2 linked regions of the Cricetulus griseus genome follow. The protein of the gene in region 2 purifies or fractionates together with the protein of the main gene of each other region. This does not show direct contact. Links are inferred from orthologs where the notes say so. Each region holds a gene or a part of one and is shown on either strand. Other genes may lie near its edges. The genes, in order: Tnks1bp1 and Capza1.

Region 1 (9,528 bases), on a different chromosome or scaffold from region 2:
TCAGGTGAGAGAAGGGAAAGCTGGAGGGTAGGGCAGGGCAGGGCAGGGCAGGGCCTTCAGCTACTGGCTCAGCCCAGACCACAACAGGCCTAGCCTCTACAGTCAGGAGACAGAAGGCAACCACTGGGCCTAGCTGTGTATGCTTCAGGCCGGTGCTCATTTGCCTGAAGCCTTGGGTGACCAAATTCCTCACCTCCCTCCCATGCCTTGTGTCCACTAACCCAAGAAGCACCTCCCAGCCAGCCTTCCTTTACATGCAGGTGGGCTATGGATAAGAAATACATGATGGGAAAATGTCTCCAAATAGAAGAAATCTCTATGCAGAAATTAGCTGAAGCTGCATTAAGACCTGTTACTGTCTCATTTCTCCCATCCCACTCCTCAAAGGCTAAAACTGTGCCCTACAGATCATGAGAGCCAGCAGTTAAGATCACAGGTTTTCAGAATCACACAAAGCTGAATTCAAACTGAGAGACTGTAGGAAGTCACTTTGGAGCCTTGGTTTTCCAGTCTCTAAAATGGACGTAACAGTCCCTTCTTCCAAAGAACATGGGTATGTATTCAGTGACTACAAACTGGTCTACTGAACCCGATGACTCTTTGGCACAATGTGCATCAGCTCTTTATAAAGAGAATTATGGTGGGCTGGGGATGTAGCTCAGTGATAAAGCACTTGTTGACACTCAAAGAGAGAGCATAACACCATCATTTGCTACAGAGATGCTCTGGGACACAGACTGGGTTGATCTGTGTTCATATAATTAATCTAACAGTGAAGGCAAACCCCTAAACTGGAGCCCACTTGCTCCCTAGCCCCTTCAAAATTTCTTACCTCTCCTTAGCCCTTACCTCTCCACGGGAGTCTTGCTATGTTCTTCCTGGCATTCTGCTGGAGACTCTGCTGTCCCTTCCTGGGATGGGGCCTTGGCAGGGGTCTTATCATCCTCTCTGAGTCCAAGGGTACCATAGGTCCTGGGGCCATATCGAGAGCTTCCATCATGATTAAAAGTGAGGCGGGAGCCCCAGAGGCGGTCAGGGCTAGCAGGGATCTCCTTCCGAGGCTGATCCATCTTAGCCAAGATCTCTTCTACTGTACTGGCTGCAAACCGCTCAGAGGAGGGACGGAAGGGGGCAGGGGCCTTTCGCACACCTCCCAGGGCAGTACACCGAGCTGGGGGTGTTAAAGGAGGTAAGTCTTCTTTCCCAGCGTCCTCTTTCCCAGACTCTTGGGTAACTTCTCCAGCAGGTGCGTCAGCTGTAGGCCTTGGTGCAAATGGGAAGGGACGCTTGCTGACACCATAGGGCTGGGGTCCTGCCAGCATGTTCATCTTCCTGGCAGAAGGCAGCTCAGCCAGGGGACCCCGAGGAGGCCGAGGCCCAACAGGAACCAGGAGGCTAGGCTTGGCAGGCAGAGCTGGCTTGCTGGATAAGGCCCGGGGCTTGGGCTTAACAGGGGGCTTGGCCCGAGGGTCACCTATCAAAAGGAAGGATTCATTGGAACTGTCAGAAGAATCATGAAACAAACTTTGGTGACTCCTGTTGCACCAAATCTCCAACCCTCCAACCTCACAGGGTGTCCTTCTAGGTTCTAGCACGCACTGCTTGTTCCATGATTTTTTACATCCCAGATGTAGCCTACCTTTTCCAAACTTACACAATGTTTACAAGTTCCCCTTCTTAAAAGCTATTTATGGGGGCTATAACACCTTCTTTCTCTAGCATCCTATTTTGTACCTAGCACAGGTTCCCATCAAATAAATGAGCAAATGAGTACATTCATCGGCCTGACCCTAGGAGGCAGTCAGCCTGGGAACCCAATTTAGCCCTATTTCTTTATAGGGCCCTATGTACCGTATTTCCATAGTGAACTGTTGATCCTAGCTGAGCTCCCCGTGTCTCCCTGCACACTCCCAGGCCACCTCCTCAAGGTCATCTGGTTCATGATCAGGAATGCAAACTTATTATTGACCTATGTCAAACAGAAGTAAATCTACCACAGGAAGAAATGGGGGGGGCAGAAGTCTACCTTCTATATAAGGCATTCTAATGCCAAATAAAAGACCTTGGGAATTACTCATGGCCACAACCCTTCTATAATAGAATCCTGTATCACCCACTCATTCAGCTAACCATTAAAAAAAGTCTAGACAGGGAGAAAGAAATGTAGTCCACCTCTCCTGTGCCTCAGTGTCAGCTTCTCAAAGAATTACTGGACCCATCTCAAGGATTCTGCTTTCATACCGGCTGGAGATCTATCTCACTCTCACCAGGTCCCAAGGCCCTTCAGCACTCATCTCACACTGGCTGCCTCTCACCTCAACACAACTGTCACTCAACTACCTGGCAGGACAGAATAGGGGTGCAGCCTCTACCCTCTCCACCCTCCCAGTCACCAGCCCCACCCTGCACCCATCACCCATTGGTACCTGGCTCAGAGCCAACAGGCGCCAGCTCCTCCCCCATCTCCGGGGGCAGTGGGGAAGCCATGGCCGTGCTTTCCCCGACTTTCATCACATGTGGCAGACCCTGTTTGAGAAAGGAGAAGCAGTATAAGTTGGGGTGGTTGTCGACCCAGGAAAGGGGGAGGTGGAGAAGGAAAAGAGCTGGGCGAGTCAACAGGCTTAGCCAAGGAAGTCTATTTCTAACCCAGGCTGTGTGGGACAGGAAGAGAGAACTCCAGGAGGAGGTCGGGGAGGTCCCCACAGGCGGGGTGGGGAAGGACCCCACAGCCACATCCTTGCTACAACTCTCCAACTCTTGGCTCTGAACCTCAGAGATCTGGAGCATGAGAGCCACCTCACTCACAACATCCCCAAGCACCCTCCTGTGACACCCTACTTACAGTTCCCAAGACACCCTTCTTGGTCAGGCAGCCCCACTAGAGGTATCCACTCCAGGCGGGGTAAGAGGGCCGGAAAGTCTCAAGTCTCGGGAATCACCTCATGGGAGACGGGAAAAACCCGCTCCTCCCCGACCTGGGGCTCCGCCCCACTGCCGCCCCCCCCTTCCCAGTCTCCTCCCTCCCTCTATGGGCTGGGAGTGGCTCCCTACCCCCTTCTCCCCATTCTCCTTTCACATCCCTGCCCCCTCCTCCTTCTCTCAGAGCTGTCTCATCCAAACACGGGGAAATAAGAAATAAAAAGTAAACATCTGGAATACATTTTTTTCCTTTAATTTCTCAATCGTTTTGGCTTCAGCTTGGAATTTGATGAGGTAAAGCCAGGGCCTAGTCCTGTTACCATAGCAATGGCCTCCCACTGGATTTCCAGGGCCTAGCCAAAGGGAAGGAGGAGCCGGCCCAGGATGGGCAGGGAGAGGACAGACTGGACTTGATTGGGGGGCGGGGGGTGGGGGTGGGAGGCTTGACTTGGAGGAAAACTCCTCAGGGTCCAGCCTTCCAGGACAGTCAGGGAGGGACCTGCATAGACTGTGAAATAGGAATATGTGTGGATCACTAGCCTGGAAACGGCCAGAAGGAGTTTTGAGGGACCAGAAGAAATTAAACCAGATGACAGCCACATAGTAGTAGCCTGTCACATGAGCTTCTGAATCTGATATTAACAGATTTAACAGCTAAGTGGGTCTACCATTTTAAAGCTGTGTGACTTTTCCCTATCTGAAAAATGGGGTATTAAGACTTGAGTTTCAAGCCAAATAATGCATGCAAAATACCAAGCATGGAAGTGATAAGTAACAGTTGGCCACTATTAATGTGACTACATTCGGAGTCACTAATGAGCTAACTAACATCCTTGGTAACCACCTATAACTCTCCCCCTACCCTAGGCTGCATTCCTAGACCAGTCCTTCATGACCCCAAGTCATCAGTTCTTCAGGCACTCCACCTCCTCAGTTCCCACCCTGGGTGCTGATGCACCCTCCCACCCACAAGGCCCCCTCAGGCTCTGCTACCTGATGAATAGCAAGCACTGCCCCTGAGGTTCAAAAGCAAGGGAGAAGCTGCCTAACACACGGAATGCACACAACCCTGGAGGGGCAACCCAACCCTCACTGTGTTGCAACCTCAAAGTCCCTTTCCCACTCCAACTGGTCTGAGAAGATAGCTCTCAATGCTAAAAACGACCTGTGGTGCCCAGTCTTTGCAAAAGGCATCCCCATCCCCTTGACCCTGTCCCAGCTTATTTCGAAGAGGGTATGGAGAGAAACTGTGACAATGTCAATCTCTGATCAGCCAATTACCACGGGCTGTGCGTGGGAGAATAACGTGTGTGGGGGGGGAGGGGGTGACAGGAAAAAATAAAATTAAAAATACACAAGATTGCTTCCTTGTCCTTGAACATTATTACAAGGGATATGGTGTGGGTGGTTAGAAATGAAGAAAAACTAGTCTAGAAAAAAAAATCCTCTCACCTGTGGGCTTGATGGACACCTCTGAGGTTATAAGGGGCTGCAGAGATGAAGACAGAGGAGGTGGCTACAGTAGAGAGGCCCCAGCCAGGAGCCCCAGGAAACCAAGGCCATGGCCTCAAGCTGCAGAATCGCAGTGCCTCAAGAACTCCGCACCCTTAATGGTCTAGGGAAACCAGACAGCCTTGGGAGTAAAGGCTGCCCCCAAAGGATGGGAAGGCACTAGGCAGCCTCAGTCCTGGGCAGGCAGGCACCCTAAGGGCCGGCAGGGTCGTCCCTAAAGGTCTCCTGCTGAATGTGCGACTAGTGCGACCAGGAGGGTTAAGTGTTGGAAGAGGGAGGGCCAACAGGAAGGCGGAACAGCCCAGGGCAAGGGGCTGTTTGGAGGGCCTCCGTGGGGAGCTTACGGACATCGAGCGGCCAGGCGAAGAGGAGGAGCAGATGAGGGTGGAGGAGGAGGGGGCGGCAGCAGCGGGGACAGTGAGAGATGCCAAGCAGCCCGCGAAGGAACAGACCGAGGACTGGCGAGGAGGACTGTGAGGGCGGCCTGGGGTGGCTGGGGGCGTGCCATGAGAGTTGAGGAAGAGGGCCGGTGAAGGCAGGAGGGGGGGGTCCCTCGAGTAGCTCCGCCCGCCCCCGGCCCGGCCCCGCCCCACCCTCGCCTCTCCCCGCTTTCTTCTGGCTCCCGGCACGAGTGCTCTCCACCCCCGCACACACGCTCCAGCTCCGCAGCGCCCCCGCGTCCCCAGGCCCTCGCAAACTTTCCTAGTGACCCCCCCACCACCATCGCCGCCGCCCCAATCTGAGGTCGGGACTGCTAGGCGCCCGGTTCTTTCCATGCCCTTCCCCGCCCCCATCCCCGGACCCCGCCCCCTCCGGCCGTCGCCGCACACTCACGCGCTCCCCGGGACGGGCTCCGTTCGGCTAGGCACCCCGACGCCAGTGACCGCTGCTGCCGCTGCCGCCACCGTCACCGCGGGACCGAGCCAGTGCAAGCCCCGGGGCCCCTCCCATAGCCCCGCCCAGGGACACGCCTCCATGCCGTTCATGAATATTCATATAAGAATCCGTGAGAGGGAAGCCGAAGCTGAAACAGAGTCCGGCCCACGAGATGCAAACAAGCACAGCTCGCACATAATTATTCATGACCTTGTAAATGAGGAGCCGGTCCTGATTCAGACTTAGGCGAAACTGACGCAATTTTACCCCAGCGCCACCGAGATGACTGCCTAGAGAGGAAACCGCTCTGGACTGCTTTCCCTAAGCCTACACTGATTACAGCACCATAGAGCGCGGGCAGCACGAAGGGAACCGCTGGCGGACTGAACAGGCTTCCTGTTACACCTGAGTCTTCCTGGGAGCGCAAGCGACGTGGCCACCCGTCGTGTATAAATTCAGATTGAAAGCCACAGTAGAAAGTGGAGTAGCTTTTTCCCTCGTGTTATCTGTTTAAGAGCTCTCTTAGATACACTTCCCAAACATGAAATTTTGTAGCCCTCCCTTCACACACTTAACTTCACTCACACACTACTCATCCTCCTGACTCAGGTTTCCACTCCCTGCACTAGAAAGTCGATCCTCATTCTATTACCTCAAGCCTTATAAGACCCTTGTCTCCTAAAGTGATTAAGGATGGAGCTGAGAACCCCGCCCCCTCCGACTCCCACCCCTGTGCTGGCTAATGGAGTGGAACTCTGAGAGGCTTCCTAATCAGATCAGCACTCATTTCTTGACTCTCAGGTGGCATTGTTCACAGACAAGGGTGAAAACCAATGCTTGTCCAGCCAGGAAGGACAGGATGTGCTTCAAGACTTGCTTCCCAGCTGGGCAGGAGGGCCCTGCAGAGTCCGGATAGAAGGGTAAACACCACATGTAAAGTGGGAAAGGAGACATAAGGACATGGTTTCCAAAGTCAGTTCCATTTATTAAATTGACTTCACAGACCAGAAATACAAAATAAAAGTAGAAATAGGCCCCTATTAGGAGCTACAGGCCTGACTTCACATGACCCCTGATGCAGCCACTTGAATAAGACAGGAAGCAGCTTTATCCCTACAGTCGGGCAAGTGAGCCGAGGACTTAGATCCTTCAACGCACTGTGAGCAGACAGAATGCACTCCTACCCAGTCTTTCCCCAGATTACAAGGAGCCATTCTTGCAAAGCAGCTGAGGTTAGATGTTTCCCTTGATGCCTGCCTCAGAGAAGTGGAAGCCACCAGGAGCAGTTACTCAGATGGCACAGAGTCCAAGAACTATGTAGAAAGCCTGGAGATGTGACAGGGCAAGGACAAGAATTTTCTTCCTCTACTCATCAGATCCTGAGGCAGAGTCCTCTGAGCTTGGAGGAGTGCTGGCTAGTTCCTCTTCTTCAGAGTCCTGAAAAACCAGAGGTCTCTTAGGTAAAGGTATAATGTCCCAGACACTTTTTGGTGAAGGGTCCCTAATGCCCAGTTCCTCCTACAACTGCACTCACCATAACCTCAGAAATCCACCTGTCCACTCTAACTCATTACTCTTACAGACAAACCACAACCCTGTCTTACCCACCCCAGACTCAAATGCCCCTCAACCGCCCAGACTTCCTGCCCCACCTCGCTCCGCCTCCTCTTCTTTTTGCTCTTGTTCTCTCCTGAAGAGCTCTCATCACTGGACACAAATTCTTTGCTCTTGAAGCTCTCACTTAGCTGCCTTGATGAAGACTTGGATGATGAACTCCTAGAGGGAGTGGATTTTTTTTCCATCTTTGCTTTTACTTTCTTTTTCTTCTTAGACTTGTCCCTATATTAAGAAAATGGAAAAGACGCCAGGCCATTAGTCTTCCCATATTATCAGATAGGCCACATTTCTCCTGGCTTTAATGAGGACGTCTCCAGTAATGGCCATATTATTCTCACCCTGGCAAATATAATGTCAGCTCTGTAGCCCAAAGTACACCAAAGGAGAGGATCATACGTGAGTACCTGAAGAGCCAGGGTCACGGCCTGAAGCAACTTATGCAAAACTTACCTGGCACTTTTGTTTTGTTTAAAAGTTCATATGGATTTTGAATTAAGCTTCACAAAATACTTTTTTCTAAACCCTCCCATTATTTATTTGAATATAAAACTGATCGAGGAAAATGGGCCATATTTATCTCCTAACTCCATACAACACCTATACTCGGCAATGGCATAAGCACTATTTTACTGCTGTCAAAAATATGTACCACAATTCTCAATTCTAACCTGGAAAAAAAAATCTGCTAAAAAGAGCAGTTATTGGGACCATTTTGTTCCTAACACTCACCTTTTAGAAGATTCACCTCTTCCTCCTTCATATTCTTTCATGGCTTTTTCATATTCCCTCCTGGCATCCTCAGCCTTTCGGTCCCACTCCTGTCACAAACAGTCCTTTAGACTGATGCAAGCAAATCTGTATCTACAGATGGATGAGTGACACACCCTGCACCCCCACAAAGCCCTTCTCACCACCACTCCTTTCCACTGTTACTCACCTCTTTCTTCTCTTTGGACATTCCCTTCCAGATCTCGCCTGCCTTCTTAGAAAGATCTGTGATGCTGATGCCAGGATGGTCTGACTTGATCTTCTCTCGGCTGGCATTAAGCCACAACATGTATGCAGACATAGGCCTCTTAGGGGCATTTGGATCTTTACCCTTCTTCGCCTACATGAGAAAGAAACCAAATGCCATCAGCCATCCATATTTCTCAACTATCCTAAGTTTCCCCAAGGAAACCATCTGGGGAGGGGGAAAATGCAGGGAGAACTAGATGGAACTGGGTACCCAGGAACAGCTCTAAGGGCAGGACTAGCCGCTTTTTCCTTCTCCAAGAGATGCCCTGGGCAGAGGCAGGATGTCTCCTAATTCAGATGCAGAGACTCACATCTGTCATGGTACTAAGAACAAGTTACAAATGAGTGCTCAGTCCTAAATGGAATATCTCTATCACCAAGGCCCAGGGAATACAGCTAAAGAGGTGGGCAGGAAGAATGCAAGAGCCAGAGAAAAGGGAGGAGTACTATGAAACACTGCCATCCAGATACAGCATGGCTGCTGTGACTGTCAACAGCTATGGATACTTGCCCAAGGCCAATACAAGATTGGGTCCTGATATTCTATCATAGATAGGAGAGGCAACCACGAGGGCTCACCCTTCCTAAGGTGCTACATGCAGTTAACATGCAGTTGCTAGGAGAAGATGAGTCATTTTCTTCAGCGGGGCAGCCACTGGTAAGGTCTTACACATGCTATACAAGCAATCCTAATTAAACTCATCAGATACAAACCAAAAAGACAAGACATGAAAGCAAAAGATGGACTAGTTCAGGAGTTGAAGGAGGGGAACAGAGGGAAAGGGGGTATGAATAAAATCATAGTACATTGAATGTATGTTAAAATTGTCAAAAAATATTAAAATTGGACAAACAAACAAAAAACCCAGATCTTCTAGAAACAGTATCTCAGGGCCAAAAAGAAAACCTAGACGGTATCTACCAAAGCCACACTCACCCAAAAGGCAGCACAACCAACAGGACCTGCTGCGAGTGGAGAGGAGAAAGAAAACAGAAAATGGAGACGCACACACTCACTCTCCCAATCTAGAGGTGAGTCTGTACCTCTGAAGACTTCTTGCGGCTCTTGCGATCCTTGGCCATCTTGGCCCTTTTGAGCTGTTTCCGCTTCTTCTCTTCTCGGTCACTGTCCCCCTCATTACTGGAGGAGCTGGCAGAGGCATTGCTGTCAAACCTGCCAGAGTAAGGCTTAGACTCAGGAAAGGAAGGCAGGATACAGATCTTTTCTTTCATTTTGAGATAGGTTTTCTCTGTGTAGCTCTGGCTACACAGAATTGGAACTCGCCCTGTAGACCAGCCTGGCCTCGAACTCACAAAGATCTGCCTGCCTCTGCCTCCAAGTGCTGGGATTAAATGCTTGTGCTACCACTGCCCAGCCAGATGTCTTGAGAAAGTAGTAAAAGGAATCTAGACATCTGCCCAGAAAGGGCCAAGGGAGTAAGTCCCAAGGACAGGCTCCACCACTAATTGCCACCCCAGCTTCCTGCCTTTCACTAAAATGATTTCATATCCCTTCTCCAGACCCAGCCACCACAAAGGCTTATTTGTTTATTCAATCAATAAAAAACCAATGTTTCAGTGGGCTCT
Region 2 (9,173 bases):
TACATAATGAGACCCTGTCTCAAAAAGAAACTTAACATATAATCAATACTAACACACTCATCAAAGAAGAGAGGGAAATGTGGTATTTCTCAAACTTGTTTCTCTAGGTAAGGTTTTCTAAATATCAAACACATTTTGGAGACCTTGACAAACACTTATAAATTTTTAAAAACATAAACAATCTTTAAATAAGTATCAAAATAGAAATGAACAAAATGGAAACTACTTACAAATATTAGTCCAGATATCAAAGAAGATGTCCCTGTAAGTGCCACATAGAACTTGGGTGTCAACGAACTTAAAAACCCTGTCACTGTTAAAAGAGAAAACAGTGTTTTTACAAGCAGAGTTTTTACAAGGTACAATTTAAAGTACATTACAGTTATATAAATATCTTTAGATGGAGGGAGGCAAGCAACACAGATGCCTGACTTGGTGAGGTTATGTCCAAACAAGCCTATAAATTGAAAATACTGTAAGTAAAAAGTGTAGGTAGGGCTGGAGAGATGGCTCAAAGGTTAAGAGCACCGGGTGCTATTCTAGAGGTCCTGAGTTCAATTCCCAGCAACCACATGGTGGCTCACAACCATCCGTTATGAGATCTGGTGTCCTCTTCTGGTGTGCAAATATACATGGAAGCAAAATGTTGCATACATAATAAATTTAAAAAATCTTTTAAAAAAAGTGTAGGTAATATCTCTAATCTTCCAAATGCCATAGCTTAGCAACATAATGCCTTGGATAGCATTGGCTGTTTACTTTCCACAGAGTATGAATGATGAGTGGGAACCAGTAGCTTACTGCTGCCTAGCATCATAGAGATCATGTTGCTATTTCAGGAAAAGATCAAAATTCAAATTTCTCCTGAATGCAGACAGCTTTTCCATTATTGCAAAACTCAAAATTTCTAAGCTGACCACCCTAGGTCAATAACTGTCTATATTGTTATTATTATTATTATTATTATTTTGGTTTTTCGAGATAGGGTTTCTCTGTGGCTTTGGAGGCTGACCTGGAACTAGCTCTTGTAGACTCGAACTCCCAGAGATCCACCTGCCTCTGCCTCCTGAGTACTGGGATTAAAGGTGTGCGCCACCACCGCCCGGCCTGTCTATATTATTATCTAAAGTGAAATTCATTTAAAAAAGTTATAAAAACAAATGTTATGCATTTTTAAAATAAGTAGCTTTATAACCCCATTGTTTCATATCTTAAGAATTTTCTCATGTATATAAAAGTGGGATTTCATACTGTTGTTTAGTTAAATAAGAAGTAAATCATAATGAGGCTTGGCATGTAAATGGCCCTAAAATCAATCTCCAGGGTCAAAAAAAGAAAAAAAGCTGTGCAGTGGTGGTGGTGGTGGTGGTACACTCCTTTAATCCCAGATCTCTGTAAACTCAATGCCAGCATGGTCTACAGAGTGACCATGGACATTACAGAGTTCCAGGACAGCCAGGGCCACACAAGAAACCTGTCTTGAAAAACAACAGAACAACAACAAAAAAGAAAATCAAAAGTCAAAATGAGATAATTTAACCTGCTTTTCTAAAAATCTAAAACACAAGACATAATCTACACTAGAACTTTAGTAAATATATAGTAATAAGTTAAACATACTTTTAAAAAGTGGTTTAATAGAGTCCAGGATGGTCTCAAACTCACTGAGGATGGAGCTGAGCATGACCTTGAACGACTGATAATCCTGTATCTAACCCCCAAGTGCTGGGATCACAAGCGTGCATCAGCATTCCTGGTTTATGGGTGCTGAGAATTGAACCCAAGCTTCCTGTATGCTAGGAAAGCACTCTACCAAGTGAGCTACATCTCTAGCCCCAATTTTGAGTTAAAAATAAAATGTCTGTAATAATTAACTCTCATCTAAATGGTACATGCAATTAAAAACTTAGAAAATGAAACCAAAGTAGCAGGTTGGGGAGTTCAAGCCTGCAATTCTAGCATTCTGGAGGCTGAGAGGCAGGAAGGACTCTAGCCTGAGGATATTCTGGACTATACAGAGAGATAATGTGTAAGATAATTTTTTTTAAAGACAGGCTAGATAGCACAGTCTTCTAATCCCACCACTTGAAAAGTGATACTCAAAAGATCAGGGGCTCAGGCCAGGCGGTGGTGGCACACCTTTAATACCAGTACTTGGGAGACAGAGGCAGGCAGATTCAGTGAGTTCGAGGCCAGTCTGGTTTACAAAGTGAGTTCCAATACAGCCAGGACTGTTACACGGAGAAGAAACCCTGTCTTGAGGGGAAAAAAAAAAAAAAATCAGGAGTTCAAGGCCAGTCTTGGCTATGTCCTGCCTCAAACCAGCAACAATAATAAGTGGAAAATAAACAACAAACCCAATGAATAGCATTTTAATGAGCATAGAAACCACCATTAAGCACTTCATCCGCCTGTTACAGACAAATAAGATAGGTATGTTACCTATCCTCTAAAATACTCAAAGCATTTCAGAACATTATCCCGCAATCTTTCATGTTATCTCATGGGATAGAAAAGAGAGACCACTGCCTTCTCACAGGATAGAAAAATTAATAGAGTCACCACATAACAGAAATACTTCGTCTTTTGAGGCTGCAGAAATACTTCAATAACATTGTAAAAGGTTCAGGACCCCGTCATTTTATCCCACTATGGCTAAGGAATAGTACTTGCAGAATATAAAAGACTTGCTTACAAGTCTTTATCTTTAGCCTGGGCTACATAACAAACATTGCACAAATGCTGAAAGAGCATACTAAACAAACCCAATGTTGCTTGTGCTTCTCTTCCTCTCCCTTTCCTGTACTCTTTTTATTACTCATGATAAAGTCTGAAAGATAAAAATACCACGAAAAACGTTTCTTAACAGAACTATCTTACACTAGAAGGAAGCATGGTCCTCTGAAATCATAGTATTACAGATAATGCTGATTTTCTGGGTGCGGGTTCTTTAAGCTAGGCGGCTGGAGACTCAAAGGCACTATTTTAAAGGGGGGCTGCAAATAAGAAGAATGTATGTATATAAATTGTGTGTTGGTAACTGCTCTTTTCTGTAAGACAGAAATGCTCTTTTCTGTCTTACTACCTGAAGCTTGCAGCTTGTCAGATAGTTTTTCCTGCGGTAATGTAGGCAGAACAGAGAGAGCGAACCTTCAGAGCTCTAGGGAGGGGCCGGCAAACTGCAGCACAGGTTTGACAATCAGCTGCCCGGTTGTTGTGGCCCAAGGGGGGGGAAAAATAACCCACTGGAGCATGCAACACCAATGCCTTCTCCAAAGCCCTCCACGACTCCCCGAGAATCTCTGCACTTTGGCGCTTGTCCCCGACCGTCCAGGAGGTTTGGGCCTCTCACCCGCTGTCACGTTGTCACACAGCCTCAGCGGGACCCTCAGAGCGTAAAGCAGCCCCAGCCCCGCCAGGAACCACAGCGTGGACCCAGAGTTCGCCAGCCCGGCCTTCAGCCGCTCTTTCCAGCCCAGCGGCGGGCCCAGGCCCAAGCCGGGAACAGGTGCATGGGGACACCCCACAGCCCGCGCGGCTTCCGCGAAGTATTCCCCGTCCGCCATCTTGCGGCTCCGGCAGGCGCCGGGACCTGGGAGGGGAGAAGGGCAGGAAACCCGGAGTTGGGAATCCTGGGATAGTGGCGGACTTGAAGCTGGCCTCTGTCAAGGCTGAGTCCTGGGGACCTGGACAGAGATCGGGAAGGCGACGGAGCGCGACCTCAGACCGAGGCGCCACCTGGTCCTCTAGGAGGGCGGGGAAGGATTCGAAGGTGGCACTTATTCTGCAGGAAACGGACTCAGTGTGGCGCTGGAGGGAAGTGGTTGTGGTTCCCTATGAGGTTGGGGGTCATCTTTCGCCCCGTTCCGGGACTGGAAAAGTACTGGTGTTGCCTAGAGCCGGGCAGCTCTTAGCGCACTGGACTCGGCTGCCTCGGAGACCTGCGGGACCAGGAAAACTCATAGGTGTAGGAACTGCTGCGTGACCAGAGGTAGCCCTGGCGCCACGGACAGTCGAGAGTCGCCACCGAGCTTCCAGGATGGATGGGAAAGTGACTGAAATTCAGTGAGAAAGATGTTAAGACTCCGAGGCCTCGATGGCAAAGCCTACTTTCCTAGAGCGTTGCCACTCCAGGCTGTCACACCCGCGCGGAACTGACATGGCGCCCTTTTGGCCGGAGCTTCCGGGCGGGTCCTTCCGACGGCCCCCTTGGTGATTCCACCACTCAGCTTCCTTCCCGGCCTGCCTCGCGCCGGTCGCCGGGCTGGGCCAGAGCAGCCAAGATGGCCGACTTCGAGGATCGGGTGTCGGATGAGGAGAAGGTAAGGGGTCCGCCTCTCTCCTTTACCTCCTCCCCCGACGGGGCCTAGGGGTCCGAGCCGGCAGCAGTGGGAAGCCTGGCGGTGTCCCCGGGAAAAAAAAAGCCCGTTTCCCGGTGCTGGCATACTCCCTGTGCACCCGGGACGCTTCCTTCCTTAAAGGGGCTTTCCTTTGCCTCACGGTGGCCCCAGTTCCCCATGCCTCAACTCTTTCCATTCTTGATCGAGCACAGCTTTCCTTTAAAAGAGGAGACACTTTACCTGATTGACTTTTAACTGTACTTTCTTTTATATAATTATAAGAGAGGGGATGAAGGTGATGTTGGGACGTGTCAGGCAGCAGCTATTTTACCGCCTTTGGCTGTTGGGGCTCCCCCCTCCCCATTTATAGGTATGATTGGGGTTAGTTTGGGACGAGTCACTTCCTGATCAGAGTTGCCTCCTTAACTTCCCTTTTGCTCCTCCTTCCTCAGGAAGTGATTTTGCTGTCATGACTCCTTGACAGGGAGAGGTCCTCTGTCTGGTATTATCTATCCACCTAACTACACACCCTGGTCTTTTCTCAGCTAGTGACGATTGAACTAATTTGATAAAAAATAAATCTGTAAACCTCAGGGCATTTGCTTAAGAGTTTGACTTTTGTTCCTGCTGCTGCTGTCTTGTGTCCGTGTATGGCCCCAAGGTGACTCCATCCCTTCTGTCTGTCTTAATCTTCTTAACTATAATTTTTTCAAAGTAATTTTGGCTTCCTGTTCAGCGAGGAATAGTAGCCAGTAGACTTTTTTTTTTTCAACTCCAGAAAAGTTTGGTAGTAAATAAACCTCACATTAACACATTTAGTTTAAATGACACACCCAGCCCTTTTTGATGACCTGCTGTGGTGTTTGATAGTTGGGTTTGACAGTGTGCATTGTGTAGTTAGATCTTTAAAGGCGGTTTAAATACAAGGGTGCATTATAAATTAAATGGAATGACTTTTTCTCAAAACAGCAAACGTTTACTAAGCAGTTTGTCCAAAAAAGAAAGAAGTGGCTGGCTCTACAGTAAACACAGCATTTTAGGGTTGGTAGAAGTAGAATGGTCTCACTAGATAACTCCTTATGGGACAAGAACATGTCTTTTGCTTCCTGCAGAGACTGTTACAAAGTGTGTACTCTCCAGTGTTCTATAAAAATCTGCCCAGGTTCTTATAGTAGTGAAAATATTGGAGATTGTTGGGAGGAACAGACTATTTTTGATCACTTCTCCATAAAGAATAACTTAACTTATACCTGTGTATGTGTGGGCCACCATTTTTAAATGCTGAAAATTTGCTTAATGCCTTTACAAACCACTTAACACGTACTGGGACGGCAGTTTCTTGGTAGAGCACTTTATACATGCAGTGTCCTGTGTTTGAACTTCAGCATCAGCATCAAAATAAAAAGCCAACAAATAACACATGAGGGTTGTTTTCTCTTAGGTGGAGATTGAGCATCATAAATGTAAATACCTAGGAAACAAAAAGACAGCTGAATTAACATTAGAAAGAAAACTATAGCAAAATGTTTATTCTAAGGCAAGTACTTTTGGTTCACATAACATCGTTAGAGTGAAATTTTATTCTGTTTCTTGAGACTGTGTCTCGTGTAAGCCTCCAACTCACTATATAGCAAGGATGACCCCCCCCATCCCTAATCCTCTTATCTCAACCTCTCAAGTATTACTGTTATATGCCATCACACTTAGATTTGTTGCTTACTTTTAATGATGATAGAACAAGCCAATAATTAGTAAATCTGCCCCAGAAGTAACCATGAATTTTATTCCTGTTTTAGTAAAGATCTTATTTTTTGTGTTTTGGGGACAGAGTCTTGCTATGTAGCCCTAGCTTGTCTGAAACTTGCTGTGTAGACTGGACTGGGCTCCAATTTGTCTCTTGCTTCTGCCTTCTATGTGCTGGGATTGTAGTCAAACCCCATGATGCTGGGTTTAATAGAGATTTTGGGGGTCTTTTTTTTTTTTTTTTTTTTTTTTTACTACATTGTCTTTATTGGTGTACATAACGAAATGTACTGATACAGTAAAAATCGTTGGAGATTTGAGCCAGGCATGGTGGTGCACACCTTTAATCTCAAGGCTCAGGAGGCAGAGGGTGGTGGATCTCTGTGAGTTCAAGGCCAGCTTCGTCTAAATGTGAATTCTAGGACTACATAGAGAGACCCTTAAGATTTGAGATTACTGTAGTTTTGTTAGATTCCTTTCCTCAGAGTTCACAGGCACATTCATATCTCTCTAAATCTATGAGTAAAAAGAAAGGGCTTTGAAAGACTTCCTGATTTGGGGGCTTCTTACCTTTGCCTGCTTTTCCTTTTAACCTTCAGATTTATTTTATCTGAATTCAAAACTTGAGAAAGGTAGGAAGGCTGGGCCTGATAGTGCCTGTCTGTAATATTCCCAGCTCTTGGGAGGTAAACAGAAAGAGGATTATGAATTTAAGTTTATCCTTGGTAACAGGGAATTTAAGACCAGCCTCAGCTACATGAATGGGACCCTTTCTCAGAAAAAAAACCAAAACAAACAACAACAACAAAAAAAAAAACGCTATTCTGAGAAAAGATTTTTCCAAGATATTTCCTGATTTGTTTACTTAGGGTTGTTGGGGATTTTTTGTTTGTTTGTTTTGAGAAAGTCTGAATTCTGTATCCTAAGCTAATCTAGAACTCACTTATAGCCCAGATTTTAAACTTATGGTGATCCTCTGCTTGGGATTCTCAGTGTTAGGCTTAGAGTCATGAACCACCATGCCCAGCGGTACAGACTAATTTTAAAACCAAGATAAAAAATATTCTTTATCTTTCCTGGCCTGGTAGCCCACACCTGTAACCCCAGCTGTTTTAGAAGATGAGGCAAGAAGATAGAAAAATTTAAGGTCTGTTCAGGCTACAAAGCAAGTTGAACTACAGCTTTGAAAACTTGATGAGACGTCTCAAAAATGAAGTGAAAAAGAAAAAAAGGAATGGGAAATGGGTTGACTATATAGTCAGTGGTAGAGCACTTGCCCAGGATCTGCAAAGCCCCTAGGACCAATTCCTTCTTTAAGGAAATCTAGAATTTCCATTTTCTTCTTTCATGTTGAAGACTTCAAAGTGCATTTTATTTGGGATAGGTATGTTTTGTTTTTGTTGTTCTCTTTTGTTTTAAGTATGCCTGTTATGGTGCCAAAAGGAATAATTTAATATTCTTTATCTTTGTTATGTTTTCAGAAAGCAGTAAACCCTTCCAAAAGTTTGTTGCTTGGGGTCTCTGATTTTTCTTTCGAGCATTTCTTTAAAAGCAAGTAAAGTGATTTTGATAACCAGCTGCCAAAGCTTTTATCACTGTTAAAGAGGAAGTTGGTTTTTTTCACTTCTGCCTTGTTACCTGAAATGGTCAGAATGTGCTGTCTGAAGAAAGCAGGAAGTGAGAAGTGTAGTAACAGGCAGATAAATGCTTCAAGTCTTGGCGTGGAGTTGAGTTTCTGGAGACTATTTTAGGTACTTGTGCTCTTCAGTTAACTTAGTTTTAAAAGTTTACCAAGACCACCAGGTCCTAATTAGGAAGTTTGAGGTGTGCCATGAATTACTTTTTTGAGCTCTCTGCCTTACCTGTTTTCTTTATTTGTGATTCAGCATTGGTTTGTTGGTTTTTTAATTCTCTCCACCCCCCAACAATGAAGAGAATTCTAGGACTGGAAAAAATGATTAGTATGTTTTTCTCTTTAACCTAATGAGTAAAATATGTGTATACACCTTAAGAATTCTGAGAAGTGGGTCTGTGTGCTTTTAATTTAGACGGCAGTGTCCTTTGTAAGGGTTTGTTTGTTTGTTCCATTGGATGTTTGGGCTTGAAGTCTTGTCTTCACATTCTCTGGGCACTCCTCTTTCAGCTTCTTGGGGTGCAGGGATTACCACACATCATGCCTGGCTTAAGGCATTTTTTTAAAGTTTTTTGTTTGTTTGTTTTGTTGTTGTTGTTGTTGTTGTTGTTTTGGTTTTTTTGTTGTTTTGGTTTTTTTTTTTTTTTTTTTTTTTTTTTTGGTTTTTCGAAACAGGGTTTCTCTGTGTAGCTTTGGAGCCTATTCTGGCGCTCTCTCTGGAGACCAGGCTGGCCTCGAACTCACAGAGATCCGCCTGCTTCTGCCTCCCAAGTGCTGGGATTTAAAGGCATGGACCACCAACACCCGGCTGTTTGTTTTGCTTTTAAAGTAAGATATTAGTATGTAGCTCAGGTTAGCCTGGAATTGGATGTGTAACCAAGGTTGGCCCTGTACTGTCTCGGCCTCCAGAATGCTGGGATTACAGGCATAAACTGTTGTGCCCAACTATAAAAGCTGCTGCTGCTGCTTCCTCCTTCTCTTCTTCCTCTTTCTCATTCTTTCTTCTAGAAACAGGTTTATCAAATTGTTTAGTAGAGGTGTAAAAACATATAAATAAGGCCGGTGAGAGATGACTCAGTGGGTAAAGGTGCTTGTTGGATAAACCTGGTAACCTGAGTTCAGTATATGGAACACATGTAAAGATGAAGGGAAAGAAATGACCTCACAGAGTTGTCCCTAATATCCACAAAAAGGCTTTGACAAATGCATCCCCCTCCCTACTTTAATAATAGCAACCGTTTTTAAATCTTGTAAATAGAAGCTAGGATTTATTTAGAGCTCATAAAAATCTACTTTTAGGCTGGATATCCTCAATTATAGACTTTACTGGATGAGTTAAATCCTTGTAGGATGATGTAAGCTCTGAGTCTTATTTACTGAGACTTTCTAAGAAGTCATTAGTTAACATTCATTTTATCATTTTCTTCTTCCTTCCCCTTAGTTAGCTCTGCTGTTAA

What was found.
Region 1: the proteins of Capza1 (region 2) and Tnks1bp1 purify together in Homo sapiens (affinity purification with mass spectrometry; 3 studies listed by BioGRID and IntAct, with this or other methods). This does not show direct contact. The link is inferred for Cricetulus griseus from reciprocal best matches to the Homo sapiens genes CAPZA1 and TNKS1BP1.

Annotation. Positions count from the first base shown.
Region 1 is NC_048599.1:90,483,996-90,493,523, forward strand, and holds the start of Tnks1bp1 (182 kDa tankyrase-1-binding protein), read right to left. Parts: upstream 5,398-9,528; 5' UTR 5,266-5,397; intron 4,756-5,265; exon of another isoform or gene 4,372-4,755; intron 2,996-4,371; exon of another isoform or gene 2,843-2,995; intron 2,527-2,842; 5' UTR 2,512-2,526; coding exon 2,427-2,511; intron 1,475-2,426; coding exon 850-1,474; intron 1-849. Other genes in the region: FACT complex subunit SSRP1, read right to left, coding at 6,673-6,744, 6,960-7,146, 7,654-7,742, 7,862-8,032, 8,986-9,115.
Region 2 is NW_023276806.1:52,110,626-52,119,798, forward strand, and holds the start of Capza1 (F-actin-capping protein subunit alpha-1), read left to right. Parts: upstream 1-4,191; 5' UTR 4,192-4,283; coding exon 4,284-4,322; intron 4,323-9,173. Other genes in the region: St7l (suppressor of tumorigenicity 7 protein-like), read right to left, coding at 231-313, 3,353-3,566. UniProt on the Homo sapiens protein: F-actin-capping proteins bind in a Ca(2+)-independent manner to the fast growing ends of actin filaments (barbed end) thereby blocking the exchange of subunits at these ends.